Linked DNA regions of Macaca fascicularis. The protein of the gene in region 1 interacts with the protein of each later gene in a pairwise test. Links are inferred from orthologs where the notes say so. Each region holds a gene or a part of one and is shown in the gene's direction. Other genes may lie near its edges.

Region 1 (4,574 bases):
CCAAGATCGCGCCATTGAGCTCCAGCCTGGGCAACAGGAGCAAAACTCCATTTCGATATATATATATATGGCAGGGCACAGTTGCTCACTCCTGTAATCCCAACACTTTGGGAGGCCAAGGCAGGTGGATCACCTGAGGTCAGGAGTTCGAGACCAGCCTGACTAACATGGTGAAACCCCCATCTCTACTACAAATACAAAAATTAGCTGGGTGTGGTGGCTCACACCTGTAGTTCCAGCTACTTGGGAGGCTGAGGCAGAAGAATTGCTTGAACCCAGGAGGCGGAGGTTGCAGTGAGCTAAGATCGCATCATTGCACTCCACCCTGGGCGACAGAGTGAGACCCTGTCTCAAAAAAAAAAAAAAAAAAGAAAAAGAAAAGAAAAATATGTAAATTGCCATTTTCAAAGATACCTAGAAAGATTTTTTAAATCATTCACGAATGCGGTCTGTTCCTTGCAGAGAGCAGATGCACAAAAATAGTGAGAATGAGACCCTATAGTTTGGTCTCATGCTGAAGAAGTCCATAAAGCCCACAAGTCATTTTCATGATGGACAGAAAAATGTATGTGCTTTCTCTGTCTACTGCCTCAACTGCACAGACCCCGGGACTGTAGCAGAGCCATCTTTTGAGCTTAACACTGGGAGGCCCAAATTCTAGCATGGGACCCAGGGCCAGTTGCTCTCTGGTCCTCAGTCTTCTCACCCATAAAATAGGAAGGAGAGAACCCCGAATCGTTGCTTCTAGCTCCTGAACTCAGTTGTTCAGAACAAGGACTCATTGCTGATTTTTCAACAGCACAGAGAATTGCTCTTGTTTCTGGGAATGATGGACAGTACCCTCTGTTCCACTGGGCAAGCGGAACTTCCCAGGCCTCTTTGTTCCCTTCTCCCCTTAGAGAGCAACAGGCTTGGCCCCATCCCACCTACCTCACCCCTCTCTCTCCTCCCTCAGGACTGGGCACCTCGCTGCCCCCGCTGCTGCCCACTCTGCGACTGTGCCTGTACGTGCCAGCTCCCTGACTGCCAGAGCCTCAACTGTCTCTGCTTCGAAATCAAGCTCCGATGAGAACCCAGGGCCCCTGCCCTCTGGAGAGTGGCCAGCCCCCAGGGCCCATGGGCCCTCCTCCCTGAAGAGCCTTTCTCCAGGCCACTGCAACCACAAATGGCCTGCCCAGCACCCAGGCCTGGGAACTGGAAGTGGCAGTGCGGGGCCTGGCTCCCTGCAGGGCGGGACTCTTGGCCGACTGGACGGCAGCTCCTCTGGAGGGCCAGAAGAGAGAGGGGCTACTGCTGGGGCAGGTGTCCTGGCTCCCTTTCCCCTCCCCACGTCAACGATTCTATTTGAAGGTGGGCAGGGGGGTGGCGCTGCTCACCACACACAAGTGTTATAGGAGGAGCCTGGCCCTTGAGTACCGGGTACACAAGGGTGCCCGACCACACTCCGTCCACGGACTCTCGGTTATTTTAGGAGGTGAGTGTAGTGCCAGTATCTGCTCTCCTTCCTAAAAAAAACCAGGGCTCCAGAGAATCAGAACAGCCACCATCACGGCAGGGAGTCTGGGGAGGAGAGAGATTAGAGGAGTCTGGGAGGGTGGCAGGGAGGCCACGTGATCTGAGTCCCCTCATCCCTTTCCCTCCCACAGGTCCCTGGCCAAAGATTTATTTCTCTTGACAATCAAGGGCCTCCGTCTGGATTTCCAAAGAAGAAATTTCCTCTGAAGCACCGGTGAGTGGGCAAGGGCTCCCTCCCCGTCAACAGGGCCGACCCAAGGCTTCCTCCCCCTTACTCCATGCCGGGCCCCAGGCTGGTGTGAATGTCAGGGGCTTCAGGTTTCCCTAAATATAGGTCCCTGCCAGAGGATCCGTGGCGGGAAAAGGGCAGGGGTCATCGGAGAAGGTCGGGGACACGTGTGGGGCGGGCAGGAGCCGCCTTATAACCCAGCCCGGGCACCCCTGGCTCACTCGCTGCTGACCAGGCTCTGCCGGCTCCTTCAGCCTTGCCGCAGGTGGGCCCCTTGCAGGACCGGGCCGGAGTGGGGATGGGGTTGGGCCGACAGGGTCCAGATGGGTCCGGGTGAGGAGGGGAGACTTGGACGGTAGGAGCAGGGGGCTAAGCATCTGGGAGACAGATCAGTTCGGGGACGGATTTTATTTTGGAGATGGAAGTCAGGCGCAAGGAGGGCGTTTGGCAGGAACTGTGGCCCCGCATGCCCGAGGCCGAGCAGCGGCCGGTCCATAGCCGCGCATTCTGGTTTTCGGTGGCGCAGAAGACTACCAGCCTGGCTGCGGCGGCCCAGGCAAAGAGCGCGCACGCATGCGCGACCCAGCCCGGCCCGCCCGCCGGGAGCTCGCACCGGGAGGCCTCGCCTCCGCGCTGCGCCAGCTCTGCTGCCCTCTCGCGCTGCCTGCGCGTCCTCTCGCTGCCCTTTCCTCCGCCTCTGTTACGCCTGGGCCAGTGACTGGGGATCGGCTCCGCGCGGATCCAGCCCGCGGGCGAGGCAGGCTGAGGCACGACTGCGCGATGTGGCCCCGATGGTGACACGCGCCGCAGCCGCGAAGCCCGAAGCTGGGGCGGTCCCGGGCCGCGGGCCCGGCCTGGGCGACGAAACTCAGCCTCCTTCGTTTCCGACTCTTCTATCCGCATCCCCCACTTCCCGGTCTCCCCCTTCTCCAGTGCCAACATTCTAGCTGAGTCACGGCGCCCCAGAGCGCACCAGGCTGGGGGGAAAGGAGCGGAGGGGCGGGAGCTTGCGACCCGCGGGATGTGGCCCGAGTCACGTCCGAGGGGGGTGGGGAGGGATCGTGTTCTCGGCGCCCGCCCCTTCCTAGCGCGGCCTCTGGGCTGCTCCTCTCAGGGGCGGTCCGTAGCCCAGTCTATCGCCTGCAATTGGACGCCGCCCGCTCCTCGTAAAGGAAAATGCTCGGCGGAGGGCGGAGTGGTGCCTTTAAAAGGCCAGGCGCTGCCTTCCTCTTTCCCGCCCCTTGCGCCGCCCCCTCCGAGGCTGAATCGGCTGCGTTCCTCTCGGAACGCGCCGCAGAAGGGGTCCTGGTGACGAGTGCCGCGTTCGCTCACTGAGTCCACTCGCCAGCCCGTCGCCCTCTGCCGCCGCACCCTGCACACCCGCCCCTCTTCTGTGCCAGGTGAGCGCCCCTCTTCACGTGCAGGGACCAGGGACCTTGGAGAGGGATCTTGGGGGCAGTGGCGGGTTGGGCGTCCTCGTGGAGCACCCCACCCCATGCCAGCGTCTCCCTACTAGCAGCCACACACAGGCTCTCCGGCTCCTCCAGCCTGAGGTCCCATAACTGCGCAATGCAGCGGCAGCGCGTGCTGAGTCATGGCGGGGGAGGAAGCCGGATGAGATGAAGGACCATTCCCCTCCCCTTTTCTTGCAGGGACCCCTGTGGCAAAGGATTAGGGCCCCTTAGCCCTGGCGGGGATCCTAAGAGCCACTGAGGGGTGGGGGTCGGCCCGTGTACAGCCCCAGGGTTCTCGCAAGCGGGAGGTTGGTTTCTGCCCTGGGAAACGGGCCGCCCCTCGTGAGGAGGGGAAACCCCTTGGCGGTGCTTGATGCCCCATTAACGCTTTCCCTGTCTCTCCTTATCGGGCGACCTTGATTCTGAGCCCGGAACAGCTGCAGCCGTGCGAAGCGACAGGAGCATTTTTCAGGGGAAGGCGCTTGCCCCGTAGGAACAGTGACGACGGCAAAGCTTACCGCTTTCCTTGCCTCGGGCTAGGGCTTGCTCCACCGCCCTTTCCTGGGCTTCTCGTTGCTCTCTTATCTTTTTCCTAATACCCCTTTCCTACCACCCACCCCCTCCCTTGTGGGGAAAAGCCTGACCTTGGGATGTCCTTGAAGACTTGGAGCCCGAGCCAGTCCTGGGATCTTGGGTGGATTGGAAGGAACACCCCAGTGGCAGTCAGAAGAGCTGGGTTCTAATCTCAGATCTGGCTCCGGGGTTGCTGTGTGGCTTGAAGCACAGACTTTACCCTTATCTGGGCCCTTTCCCACGAGGGTGTTGGGCCCTCTGCTCGATTCAATCTTTACATTCTAAAATACTCCGGTTCGGTTTTGTTTTCAGGCAAGGTGACCCCATGGCAAGGCGCAAGCCAGAAGGGTCCAGCTTCAACATGACCCACCTGTCTATGGCTATGGCCTTTTCCTTTCCCCCAGTTGCCAGTGCGCAACTCCACCCTCAGCTGGGCAACACCCAGCACCAGACAGAGTTAGGAAAGGTACAGGGGCAGGCCTAGTATAGGGAAGTTGGGCCTACGGGAGAGCTGGGGACCAGAAGCGCCCCAGGGCCTGCTGGGTGTGGGGCAGGGGAGGTAGGGAACGTTTCCCTGACCTCCAGGCGAGGAGCCCTGCTCATTGGGAGATGATGGGAAACCCCAGCTAACTAGTCCTTCCCCTGCTTCCTGTACCCAGGAACTTGCTACCACCAGCACCATGCCCTACCAATATCCAGCGCTGACCCCGGAGCAGAAGAAGGAGCTGTCTGACATCGCTCACCGCATCGTGGCACCCGGCAAGGGCATCCTGGCTGCAGATGAGTCCACTGGTGCGGGCAGG
Region 2 (4,320 bases), on another chromosome or scaffold:
ACCCTAGTCGCTCTCATAGCTGAAGGCACCCACCGGGGCCACTTCGGTCCCCAGCGTCTTCCCGGGTAGTGCAGGTTAGGTTCACCAGGGCCCATTCTCAGTCCAGAGGATTGTCCCTTCTCTGGATCGGCTCTAGCCCAGGGCCTTATCCCATATCCCAGCCGCGCCCGCCCCGGGCAGGCAATGTCTGGATCACCGGCCGTGCCCCTTGGCCTGAGTCTGCAGAGGTCACTGAGCGCGGACACCCGCGGGGCTTAACAGGCGGGGCTATTTTTCGAGGCGGAAGAATACTCAAGTTGCAAGAGTGGCAACTTTTTCAAGAAGGGGAAAGTCCCACTTCGGGCCCTTTGGGTTTCTTCTCAGTCAGATGTGCGCTCGCCGCCACCTGGGGAGGGCGGGGCGGCCGGGTGGCGGCCGAGGTGAAGCCGTCTTCTCCGACCCGCCGCCGAGGGCTGGGCCGCTTCCGGAGCCTGGGTTAGGGGCGCGAGGTCACGGAGCGCGGCCCGGGCGGAAAGGGGCTTGGTTTTCTCTCTCCTCCTCCCGAGTGCGGCGCGCATCCCTGGCGTCCACGCCGAACCCCACAGTCCCCGACGCCCCTCGAGCCCGTGTTCCTCGACAGCCGCGCGGCTGAGTCACTGGCGGGCTCGGGCGGGGCCGCACCCGGGCACGTGGCGGCGCTCCCCGCCCGCCATCTCCTGACCCCTGACCCGCCGCACCCCCACCCCAGGGTGGAAAAATCCCGGGAGGAGCGGCCTGAGATGAGAGGGCGGGGCAAGATGGGAGACGGGACGGGTGGCGGGCCAGGTGGCTTGAGGTGGGGGCTGGGAGGCCGCGCTGGCCGGCGGGGCGGGGAGCAGGGGTGGGGAGAGGGAGGCGGGGGTGAGTCACCGGGCGCGGGCTGCCCCGGCGCCGGCGGGAAGGGCCTCCGAGTCGAGCCCCGTGACCCCAGCCGTTCGGCTGGCATGGCTGCAGAGGAGCTCGGGGCAGACCCCGCACTGGCCCCAGAGCTGGCAAGGTGGAGATCTCTACCGAGAGCAGAGACCCACCTCCCCGCAGTGCTACGGCGGGGCGCCGGAGGAGCCCCAGGCGTGCAGAAGCTCACAAAGGGCCACCCGTCCTCGGTCCATTCATTTTTGTTCACTGTTGATTCAACCCCATTCATTGATGGGCTGGGGCCGTGCGCTGAGCGCCCACAGTCGGTGGGGAGAAGGGCTCTGACCAATAGTCCCCATGCCGGGCGACAAGTGCTGTCCCAGCGTTATCAATCGGGCGCCGCGCCAGCCGAGAGGGCCCGTCTAAATTTGTCTCCTGGCCCCTAATTCATCCCCACCCTGGCTGGCCTGGAGAGGGTAGGATGGGGCGTCGCCGATAATGGCCGTTATGAGGACCCTAAGAGGTGAGACTCTCTCGCCTTCTGGGGTGGGGGGGTTCAATTTTAGACGTCAGAGCTTGCCCAGAAGTCCCCTCCCTTCCCCCACTGAGGGCAGAGGCCCGCCCAGCGATCTGAGCATGTGTGGATGTCAATCCTGCAGCCCCTCTTCCAGGCCCCCTCCCCAGCCTTGCAGGGCTCAGGTTACCCCTGGCCTTTCCTAAAGGTCACACATTCCTCTTGACGTTTGCAAAAGGGGAATGTAATCCTGGGGTGGGGGAGACCCCTCATCTGAAGCCCCTCCCCCGCTCCTCCCAAAGGGGAATTAAAACTGGGACTGTTACTGGGGGACGGAAAGAAAGTGGGGGATAGTAGTTGACCTTTGGTAAGGGGGCAGGTGCCCAGGGCCAGAGGCTTCTGCTTTAGGCTGTAGTGGGCACTTGGCTGCCAGCCCAGTGTGAAGGGGGGAGGATGGAGAGAGAGAGAGGCGGGGCTGGCTGGGGACCCAGTGGCTCAGGGATAAATGCGCAGCCCGAGAGGGGGTGAGCTGACACTGTCCCAGCTGCCACCTAGACTCGGAGCTCCATCCAAACCTCCAACGAAGACATCCCAGGTCAGCTAAATCTTCCAGCCCCCGGGGTGGACGTAGTAAAGGGTGCGCATGGTGTTGAGTTGGAGGAAGTGGGGGACGTTTCTGCTTTTTTTTCTCCTGGGACTGGAGGTGCTTGAAAAAGCTGGGGGAAGGGGCGGCTGGAGCAAGCAGATGGGACAAACTCTGGGAGCACCCAAGGATCTAGGGAAAGGAGGCTGTGAGGAGGGGCAGTAAGGATGGATAGAGAAGGGCAGCTAGAGTTGGAACCTGGTAGGGAACTGGGGGCCCAAGAGGATTTCGGAGCAGGAAAATGAGAACCAGAAAGGATTTGAAGGCCACCAGCCGTGGAGAACAGACTGCTTGACCAGAGGGTGGAAGGAGAAGGCCTAAGTGCAGCCTTGGGGGAGGTGGGGGCTTGGGGAGTGATGGCATCCTAGGAGCCATAGATGAGAGGCCCCTGGATTCTTAGGATGGGAGGGTGGAATAAGAGCTATTCTGAGTGGGGGAGGGGGCTGCGCCTGCCTCTTTGGTCTGTGACCTTTTTGTAGGGTATTTTTAGCTCCAGCACCTGCCTTCTTGGAGTGGGGAAGACTCTTAAAGGGCAAGGGATTTCTGGTTCCTTAAGAGATCAACTGTCTACCCTCACACCTCCTGTCCTGCAGCCATGGCCATGCAGAAAATCTTTGCCCGGGAAATCCTGGACTCCAGGGGCAACCCCACAGTGGAGGTGGACCTGCACACAGCCAAGGGTAACATAAGGCCCATTGGATAGGCTCGCCCCAGAAGACCCCAACCCTTTGGCCTTTACCCCCCAATTCTGTGCCATATCCTCTCCTTTCTCTCAGGTTCCCTTTCCCAGACTTCTTCCCAAGCCCTCTTCCAAAATGGAACCAGAGCTGGAAGCTGGGAGAAGAGAAGCAGGAGTCTCTGCGCTGCCTCCTGTCCCTGAGCTCAGAGAGGATACCTCAGCCCTTTGAGGGGTAGAGGGGACTCCCTGTGAGCTCTTTTTTTTTTTTTTTTGAGACAGTCTCGCTCTGTCACCCAGGCTGGAGTGCAGTGATGCAATCTCGGCTCACTGCAACCTCCGCCTCCCGGGTTCAAGCGATTCTCCTGCCTCAACCTCCCAAGTAGCTGGGATTACACGCCTGTGCCATCACGCCCAGCTAATTTTTGTATTTTTAATAGAGACGGTTTCACCATGTTGGCCAGGCTGGTCTTGAACTCTTGACCTCAAGTGATCCACCTGCCTAGGCCTCCCAAAGTGCTGGAATTACAGGCATGAGCCACTTGGCCTAGCCATCCCTGTGATCTTCCAATTCCTCCTGCCTCAGGCCGATTCCGAGCAGCTGTGCCCAGTGGGGCTTCCACAGGTATCTATGAAGCTCTGGAACTAAGAGATGGGGACAAAGGCCGCTACCTGGGGAAAGGTGAGGAGACACCAGTGCAGAAGGAGTCTGTGTGGGTGGCTTTAGGACATGGGTGCACAATGGGTAGAGGACTAGAACCCCCAAAGCTCTTGAGGAGCTGGGGTCCACAGAAAGAGGCCCAATTGATTGAGATCCAAACCTCGTCCTCTGGCCTGTCTAGGAGTCCTGAAGGCTGTGGAGCACATCAACAAGACTCTAGGCCCTGCTCTGCTGCAAAAGGCAAGTGGGGAAGCCGGCTCCCTGCAGTCTCCTCTCCATGCCCCTGCTCCCTCACCCCAGACGCGCCTCTCCCCATTTTCACTTATCCTCCCCTTGTACGTGCCCTGACTTCTGAGAAATCTGACCTCTGCTCTCCCCTCTCAAACCCACCCTTCCAGAAACTAAGTGTTGTGGATCAAGAAAAAGTTGACAAATTTATGATTGAGCTGGATGGGACCGAGAATAAGTGTGAGTGAAGGGCAGCGGTGGGGAAGGGTTGAGGTATGGGAGAGATGGTGAGAGGCCACAGGGGTGAGGCCTGATGGGTTATTTCTGGGTCCCCCATTTTGGGTCACACCGCAGCTGGATGGATTTGTGTTCATTCCACAGGCATTTCCTATGCCTGCCCTCTGCCAGGCCTGGGCTGGGCGGTGGACACAGACATGCAGCTGACACATTCCCCCGGGGTGGGGGCTCCCAGAGCTACTCAGGTGGTGGGAGAGAGATCTGTTAACCAATTCTTCATGCTCAGTGGTTTGGAACTCTGGCGTCTTCTTGGAGTAGCCACCCCAAACCCGGAAGAAGCTCTCATCCTTTCTTCCCGCTTGCCTCCTTCCAGCCAAGTTTGGGGCCAATGCCATCCTGGGCGTGTCCTTGGCCGTGTGTAAGGCGGGAGCAGCTGAGAAGGGGGTCCCCCTGTACCGCCACATCGCAGATCTCGCTGGGAACCCTGA

Evidence for each region.
Region 2: the proteins of ALDOA (region 1) and ENO3 interact in a two-hybrid assay, tested with the Homo sapiens proteins (2 studies listed by BioGRID and IntAct, with this or other methods). The link is inferred for Macaca fascicularis from reciprocal best matches to the Homo sapiens genes ALDOA and ENO3.

Annotation. Positions count from the first base shown.
Region 1 is NC_088394.1:28,032,209-28,036,782, reverse strand, and holds the start of ALDOA (fructose-bisphosphate aldolase A), read left to right. Parts: upstream 1-1,652; 5' UTR 1,653-1,729; intron 1,730-1,963; exon of another isoform or gene 1,964-3,144; intron 3,145-3,610; exon of another isoform or gene 3,611-4,083; 5' UTR 4,084-4,096; coding exon 4,097-4,237; intron 4,238-4,430; coding exon 4,431-4,563; intron 4,564-4,574. Other genes in the region: uncharacterized protein, read left to right, coding at 956-1,069. UniProt on the Homo sapiens protein: Catalyzes the reversible conversion of beta-D-fructose 1,6-bisphosphate (FBP) into two triose phosphate and plays a key role in glycolysis and gluconeogenesis. In addition, may also function as scaffolding protein.
Region 2 is NC_088390.1:5,067,839-5,072,158, forward strand, and holds the start of ENO3 (beta-enolase), read left to right. Parts: upstream 1-1,345; 5' UTR 1,346-1,371; coding exon 1,372-1,396; intron 1,397-1,918; exon of another isoform or gene 1,919-1,982; intron 1,983-2,520; exon of another isoform or gene 2,521-2,623; coding exon 2,624-2,710; intron 2,711-3,292; coding exon 3,293-3,388; intron 3,389-3,548; coding exon 3,549-3,607; intron 3,608-3,765; coding exon 3,766-3,835; intron 3,836-4,205; coding exon 4,206-4,320. UniProt on the Homo sapiens protein: Glycolytic enzyme that catalyzes the conversion of 2-phosphoglycerate to phosphoenolpyruvate. Appears to have a function in striated muscle development and regeneration.